Mus musculus: one gene and its partner. The protein of the gene in region 1 purifies or fractionates together with the protein of each later gene. This does not show direct contact. Links are inferred from orthologs where the notes say so. Each region holds a gene or a part of one and is shown on either strand. Other genes may lie near its edges.

Evidence for each region. The genes of interacting proteins can lie anywhere in the genome.
Region 2: the proteins of Coprs (region 1) and Hnrnph1 purify together in Homo sapiens (co-immunoprecipitation; 3 studies listed by BioGRID and IntAct, with this or other methods). This does not show direct contact. The link is inferred for Mus musculus from reciprocal best matches to the Homo sapiens genes COPRS and HNRNPH1.

The regions. Positions count from the first base shown.
Region 1 is NC_000074.6:13,887,453-13,891,197, forward strand, and holds the start of Coprs (coordinator of PRMT5 and differentiation stimulator), read right to left. Parts: upstream 2,820-3,745; 5' UTR 2,784-2,819; coding exon 2,715-2,783; intron 375-2,714; coding exon 308-374; intron 1-307. UniProt on the Homo sapiens protein: Histone-binding protein required for histone H4 methyltransferase activity of PRMT5.
Region 2 is NC_000077.6:50,376,233-50,379,977, reverse strand, and holds the start of Hnrnph1 (heterogeneous nuclear ribonucleoprotein H), read right to left. Parts: upstream 2,301-3,745; 5' UTR 2,176-2,300; exon of another isoform or gene 2,120-2,175; intron 1,743-2,119; exon of another isoform or gene 1,688-1,742; 5' UTR 1,648-1,687; coding exon 1,551-1,647; intron 511-1,550; coding exon 355-510; intron 158-354; coding exon 14-157; intron 1-13. UniProt on the Homo sapiens protein: This protein is a component of the heterogeneous nuclear ribonucleoprotein (hnRNP) complexes which provide the substrate for the processing events that pre-mRNAs undergo before becoming functional, translatable mRNAs in the cytoplasm.

The sequences.
Region 1 (3,745 bases):
TAAAGCCATCTAGAGATGAAAAAGGCAAGCCCAAGGACTACAACCTGGGTCTGAAACTGAAACAGTCTTCCTAGCTACACACACTAGATGCTTTTCCTCCCAGTGAAATGGGGTGGTTTGGGTCCACGGTCATCCAGTACCTCCTCGAAGCTTCTAAACCAAGAGTCCCGCTGAGACAGTGGGCAAAGAAGGTAACTCAGTGGCTAAGTGGGTCAGCTAGCAAGAGAAGATAGACAAGACAGCGGGACTGTGCTGTCTCCATCTCTTCCAATGGCCACCCCAGCCCCAGTCTCTGCCGTCTACTTGCCTAGTCGATCCACGGCCAGCTCAGTCTCCGTCTCCCGACCAGAGAGGTCAGCTGTGGCAAAGCCAGCCTGTGGAAGAAGAAATAATTACCAGGAACTTGGGTAGTAGGACATGTCACTGCTTTGAAGCTCCAAACCCGCCCACCCATAATGCCCTGCACGATGTAGAGTTTGCACACCCTTCTGAGGACCTGGCAAGGCCTCAGAACAGGGCCTGTAGGCTACAGGCATCACCCAGGAACACTTCTCCGTTCTGACCGCTGGGAGTGCCCTTTTGCGGTGCCCAATGGACAGCTGTCACAGCTGTCAGTTTTGCTCTCAGCCCCAGGCCCTCTTCAGAAGTCTGGGCAGCAGGACTTCTCCAAGCTCAGAGACCCTAGAGCCAGATGGGACAGCTCCCTGGTCTCGGCTTGTAACCTCAAGTCTGTGTGTAAACTCTTTCCTCTAAGTCCAAAAACACTTTAACTGCTCTAACTTCTCTTTTTTCCTGGCCAGGATTGATAGTTGTCTCCTGAACCTGCAACTTCTCTGCACACCTTTGCCCTTCTCAGGTCTTTATGTCTAACAACTCCTTCCAACACAGCCATTCCACAGCGGTCCACGGGAGAAGCAGCCTGAGTTCTACACACTGGAAAGAATACCTAACCCCGCCCCCCCCCCAATGCCAACCAGGTAATTTTGCGGCCTGTTGCCTCAAAGTTCCCCAAACTTTACTCCCCCCAAGGTCTCTCTGCAGTGGAAACAGTAATGTCCAGGGCTTGGATGATCAGGCTGATGTCAGTTGTTGCCCCACCATGCACGTAGGCTGTGACCTTTAGATACTGGAATGGCTGTTCTGATCTGGCAGGGGTCGTATGATGGAGGATATTTATAAAACATCTAACATATGTTGGAGACGTAGCTCAGTTGGTCAAGTGTCTGCCTAGTGTACACAAAGCTACACACTGATTTTTCCAACACTACATAAAACCAGGCATGGTGGGCCACTCTGTAATCTGAGCATTTAGGAGATAGGTGCAGGAGGATCAGAAGTCCTGGCCACAGAGTGAGCCCAGCTCCTGGGCTACATGAGACCCTGTCTCAAAAATATTACAATAAAGCCAACAATAATAACAAAACCACCTGTTAGACTGCAAGAAGTAACACTTCTTTGACTTAAATTGCAATATTTATTTTATTTGTGTATATTTGTGTGTGTGTGAATATACCAGGAGGATCCCCTGGAGAGGGAGTTGCAGAGGGCTGAGACATCTGTTGTGGGTGCTAAGAGCCAAGCCAAACTCTGTAAGACCACCATGGCTGTCTTTCCAGCCTTCATCCTGCATGTAAATAAACTGTACTTAGCACTCACCCTAATTACCGTTCATTATCTAGTCACCCCTGAGCTTTAATGACTCTATCTCCTGTAGTCCGTGATAACCACAGACCACTGCTGCCCCCTATGGTGCTGGACCTCTTACTTGAACCTCACGCCTATCTCCCTACTCCTGCTCACCCTTCCACTTAAAAGCTTCGCGAGCCCTCCACTGCCATCACAGACCAGCAATGCCATTCATATTGACTCTCACGTTCCTTTCTGTAAGAAGCCTGCTCTCCGACCCAAGCTCCAAGGCCATTTGCCTTGCCCTTTCTCATATCCAGACCTTTGCTGGGCCTACCCTCTCACCCAAGAACATCCTTTCCAGATCCGCCCTAACAACATCACTCTCCTATTTTGCAAAAGTGATTTTCTTTGCAAATCTATTGGTACTTGAATAGCAGCTTCAAGTACCATCACTGAGGCTCTGGTAAGCGTTCTATTCATTCATCCAATTAGGATACACCAGGCATAGGTGCGGCTTCTGGGAAACAGGATGTCTACAGTCAAGAAGCTCGCAGTAGGTGGATGCAATACGGGCAGGTCATGGGGAAAGGCTGTATGGCGCGCACTTAAAAACAAGTTTCTGAAAACCCGTGTCACAAGGGGACCATTCGTTTCATCAAATGGGAAAAAGCACGGGTGACATCTGGCGTCCAAGGTCAGCTACACATCCCCACCAATGGCCAGAGGTCCTCAAGGTGAGAAAAAAAAAATCCGTTTCCTCGCAGCTCCCACCTGACCCAGCCCCCTGCGGCTGGAGCGGGCTCAGGGCAGCCGGCTCCGGGAAGCCAGCTCCGCGTTCCCTGCATTCACTCCCGCAGATGCTCCCCAGCAGCCCCAGTGTCCCTCTCCCTTCAGCGCCAGCCACAGCCTAGGGCTCGGGTCCGCGCGCGTTCCCGCGCCCACTGCCGTTACCGGCCAGGCTCTCTGCGTGCACTCGCGCGGCCCCGGCGTTTCCCGGGTGAGCGGCCTCCCGGCAGCGCGTGAACCCCGCGGTTTCCCGCCTGGGTGGTCGCGGATGCCCGCGTCCCCCACCCCGTCGCGCTCACCTCCGCGCTGGGGGCCTCCTGCGAACTCCGCTCGCCCGGGCCCCGACCGGTGGCTGCCTGAGGGTCCATGCCCGGCCGCCCACAGCCAGGCGCCTGGGACGCTCCGGCACGTGACGGCCGACGGGCTGCGGACAAGCCAATCGGCGTGGGGCGGCGCGGCGACCGAGGGGGCGGGGCGGCGCAGGGGCAGCGCCGGACGGCACGCCCACCTGCGTTGTTGTGCGGGACCGCAGGCTCTACAGCTCTTTCTGACCTCTAGTGCTGGTTTCGAGCCTTAGGCCTGATTGGGCACTGAGCCATCCCAGCCACACGGGGCTTTCCTACTGCATTGTGAAATGACACATAGAGCCCACCCGGGTGTCACACAGTCACAGCCGATGGGCTCCATCACTTTTCTCTCTACCCAATCACAGGGTTTTCCAGATTGCAGGCTGCACCCGCACTACAGCATCCCTTAATGAGGGACTTCAGCAACCTGAAATGATCTGAAATGATAACCCAGCAGCCTGGAGACATGCTGCTTTGATTTAATGATCGTCTTTAAAGTCAATCTGCAAGGAACCAGGATAAAGGAGCAAAACAACGTGCCACCACAAAAACAAGGTGGTGTTAGGAACTTAGAGTCAAAAGCCAGTGCTCCAAGTCAGTAATGTGACTTTGTTGAATAATTCTCCGTTTTCCGTTTCTCTTAGGAGTGTCAGAGGCTACAGCTAAAAAGTTTTGCCCACATGACTACTGGAACAGGAGCTGGACAAAGATGATACCAGTAGACATGCTAATTGGCTCACAAAGCCTCAACCCTACACACAGAACTATAGGCAACTAAGGATTGCTGAGAGTGGGAGAGATAGCCTTCCCCAAGGAAGAGTACCGTTGGTTATCCAGTACCCAGTGGTTGGTTATCCAGTATTCAGTGGTTGGTTATTCAGTACCCAATGGTCTGCCCTGGAAGCCCTACACATGCAAGTAACATTGTATAGACTGAGCAGATTGTATTTAGGTACATTCACATACACACACACACACACACA
Region 2 (3,745 bases), on another chromosome or scaffold:
CAGGACTACATACCTGAGAAGAACTGAACAATTTCTTCCTTGCTACATCCAAAAGGGAGTCCTCTAAGCCGTACAAAGCCATCATTGGCTGTGTCAGGACTATTTGGACCAGTATGCTTCAACACCCAATCCATTTCAACGTTGTTTGACTTGAATACTGAAAGAGGTGCTTAGAATTAGTCAATTAAGTTGGAGAACAAAGTTCAGATTTCCTGGGCTTTTAGATAACTAGGAAGAGCTGCCATAAACTCCCTTAGATGACCATTTCCATGCGGTCAAATACCTAAAATTCAGAAGGGGTAAGACCTCTATGTGTTTAAACGTTTACTGTTACTAGGGCAATGTAAATCAAACCTTCAACATATCTGTGTCCCATAGTTTCTCTGTCTTTTTTCAAGGCCAATTTGACTTCATCTTCTGATTCAAGTTCAACAAAAGCCTCGCCACTTGGTCTGCCTTCTCTGGTGTAGATGAAACGAATACCTTGAGCCCCATTTTGAATTTTGCAGTCTGAAAAGAAAACAACGCTTAATACAGGATTTAAAACCACTACAGATAAAATGCATATTCCTGTCATCACACACACCAAAAAAAAAAAAACATGCCTAAAAAGACTGACCAAGCAGAACACGATCAAATTATCTCATATACAGGATATATTCCTAGTCCAACAAGGTAACTCAATGCTCAAAAATAGTTCAAATGGAGCAGGGCAGTGGTGACGCACGCGTTTAATCCCAGCACTGGGGAGGCAGAGGCAGGCGGATTTCTGATTTCGAGGCCAGCCTGGTCTACAGAGTTCCAGGACAGCCAGAGCTACACAGAGAAACCCTGTCTCGAAAAAAAAAAAAAAAAAAGTTCAAATGAAGCTACCACCTTGCCTCTAAGTTTCCATTAACCATCTCTTGGTACACTATCTCAGAATAATCTCATCTGGATCTGGTGACTTCACAGCATTTTCTTGTTTGGGTACCATGTCAGCTTCCCTCTATCAGCAACCACATAACAATTTCATTCAAATCCAAACTCCAGCTCAATATTCATCCGAAAAGGGACCAATGTTAACAACTAAAGGCTCCAAGCTGCAGTTCAACTCAAACCCGGACGGCAACGGCCCCCTGCAATTGCTTGCAGTATACTTGGGGCTCGATTTACAGATCGTTTTCTGTTACCACAGCTAAATTCAGATGGTAAGGTCAACACTACAAGTACCTTTTTACAAAACCTTACACGACTTGAGAAGAAATCACATCTTTCCCTACTTAAATTTTTCTTAGACTACTCCAGAATGCACAGATTGATGCATAGAGACAGAAAAAGTTTTAAAAGAAAACAAATTCAGCAGGGCCACCAGCATCCCCAAGGGGGTTGGGGGGGGTGCGGATTTCGCAATTACCATTGCGTAACAGCGGCCAACAGAGCGCGAGCCGCCTGGGGAAACCGCTGGTGGCCGCGACTCGCTAGGGGGCGCCCGGGAGACCCGCCCCGCCCCAACCCGGCCCGGCCCGGCCCAGCCGCGGGCCCCACTGACAACTCCCGCCTCAACTCACCAGAAAAAAAGCGCTGCACTTCATCCGCGGAGCAGGACCAGGGCAAGCCCCGGACCTTCACCACGAAGCCCTCTCCGCCTTCTGCTCCCAGCATCATCGTCCCTTCGGTGGTCCTGGCGTCCACACAGATTGCGGGGCTGCGGGGTGGGGGTGGGGGTCAGGAACGCGTCTGAGAAAACAGGCATTTAAATGGCCCTCCCACTTCACGGCGCACAGCGGGCACCGGGCGCCGCCATGCGAGTCCCGCCCGTCAGGATGCCTGGGCCCCGGAGACTCAAGCATGCAACCCGGCCTCGGCTAGCGACCCGATGCCCAAAGCCGCCCAGTGCGCCCAGGGCCGAGGCGCCAAGCTAATAAGACCCTGGCCCACAGCCACGGTTGAGACGAGGAAATGGCGGCCGCCGCTTCCGCTCCGCCTCCTCAGACATCTCACACAATAGAAAGCGGCGCGGCCTGCAGGCCTAGGCGGCGCTGCCACGCCGGCGAGACACTCGCGGCTCCCAGGGGCAGCCTGCGCCTGCCACGGCCCCTCAGGTTAGAACCTAAGCTCAGCGACAAGCAATCGTCACCCAAAGAGGTGTCCGTGGAGAGCTCGGGCAGCAGTCGAAGACGGAAAGTCACTCACCTCCACAAAAAGCCTCGGCGTGGCTGAGGAGAAATGATAAGCGGGCGCCTGCGCAGGCTAAATAAAGCCCTTCCAGCAAGCTCTGCGCACGCGCACCCTGTTGCCGGCCCCGCCCCACTTGCGTCACAGAGAGATTGGACGCATGCGTATTAAGAAACCCCGAGCTCTCTCCCGCCGTCCTATTATTACACGCATGCGTTTGGGCTCAGCCCTCTTCATAAACTGACCGAGGTGTTTTTGGTTGTTTTTTTTTTTTCTTTCTGCGCCTGCGCCTTTTTGCAATTATTGCGCTTGGCGTCTCAGCGGTTTCTTGTTTTACTTAATGCGCATGCGGCTACCTTCAAACCGTTCTCTAGACCTACCCGCCGGAGTGGGGGAGGGGAATGGCGCTAATCAGCTCCCCGCAGGGACTGGGTAGTAATCCAGAGTTCGTTCAGGTTTGCAGGGGCGGTAGTTCTACCCTTAATCCGCAGCTTTTCATCCGCGCTCCTGTCGGTTTTGAAAGACACCACGAAGAAAAGGAAGCCATGCCCTTTCTCCTCAGAACGCGTAGGAGCTGGAGGGCCGGGTTGTGCCAAACCTCCTCTGGGTACCGCCCCGCCCCCTGCGCCCAAATCCCCGATCTCCGTGGGGCGCCTGGGACCAGTCCCCTTACCTGCCCGCTTTAGGGGGTCAGTCCCGACCCACATGGGCTGCCAGTGCCCGAGCTAGTCCTGTACCCCACTTTGCCTAACGGACTCGCACTCTACGAACCCCTCGCCCTTGCACGAGAGGCGCTCGGTGTGCGGCGCCTCGCGAGGGAAGGCTGAGACTGCCAGGGGCGCGAAGGACGCAGCCCCAGAGCGCTGCGCCCGACCGACCAACGGGCCTCTCCCAAGGTGGAGACACGCCCGGGTCATCCCGTGTGCCCTTACAGAGGTAAATGGGTGACGTTTAAGAGAATTCCTGCAACATAGCAGAATACGGATGATGTCCCGAGTTTCTCCGAATCTGACTGACCTACCCTAGAAATTAACAATAAGAGTTATTGTTTGGGCGGTGCCACGGTAGGTACCACAATTGGTAAGCCTCTGAAAGCCATCACAAGAGGTTACAGGCAAAAATACGCTTTTCTTTCAAGTGCAACATTGAGGAGGCTAAATCCAGTTTGAACAGTTTGTTTTTTAAAAGGGGGGGGTGTCATCAAAGGAAAGGTGCAGAGACTGCGTGCAGAACTCAGACCTTTTAAGTCTGCGCAAGGGTGTTAAGTAGAAGGGCATCACAAGACTTCAAGAGAGCAACAGGAGCTGTGTAACGTGAACCTTCAGGTGTAAGGGAAACTCGGATGAGACAGGCTGGGAGAATAACTGCACATGACCTCACCTGCAAAGGATCTATCTAGAGGAGACAGAAAACACTAGTTTAGATCATCGAAAAGTGAGAACTCCCAAGTCTCCAGGCCAGGAGGTGGGTGAAAGGCAAGAACACAAGCCCAGCCGAGGAGAACTGCAACTTCAAGACTTGCCTGAGCAACAGAGTGCGTTCAAGGCAGCCTGGGAAATTTACTGAAAGCCTGTCTCAAAAAGAAGAC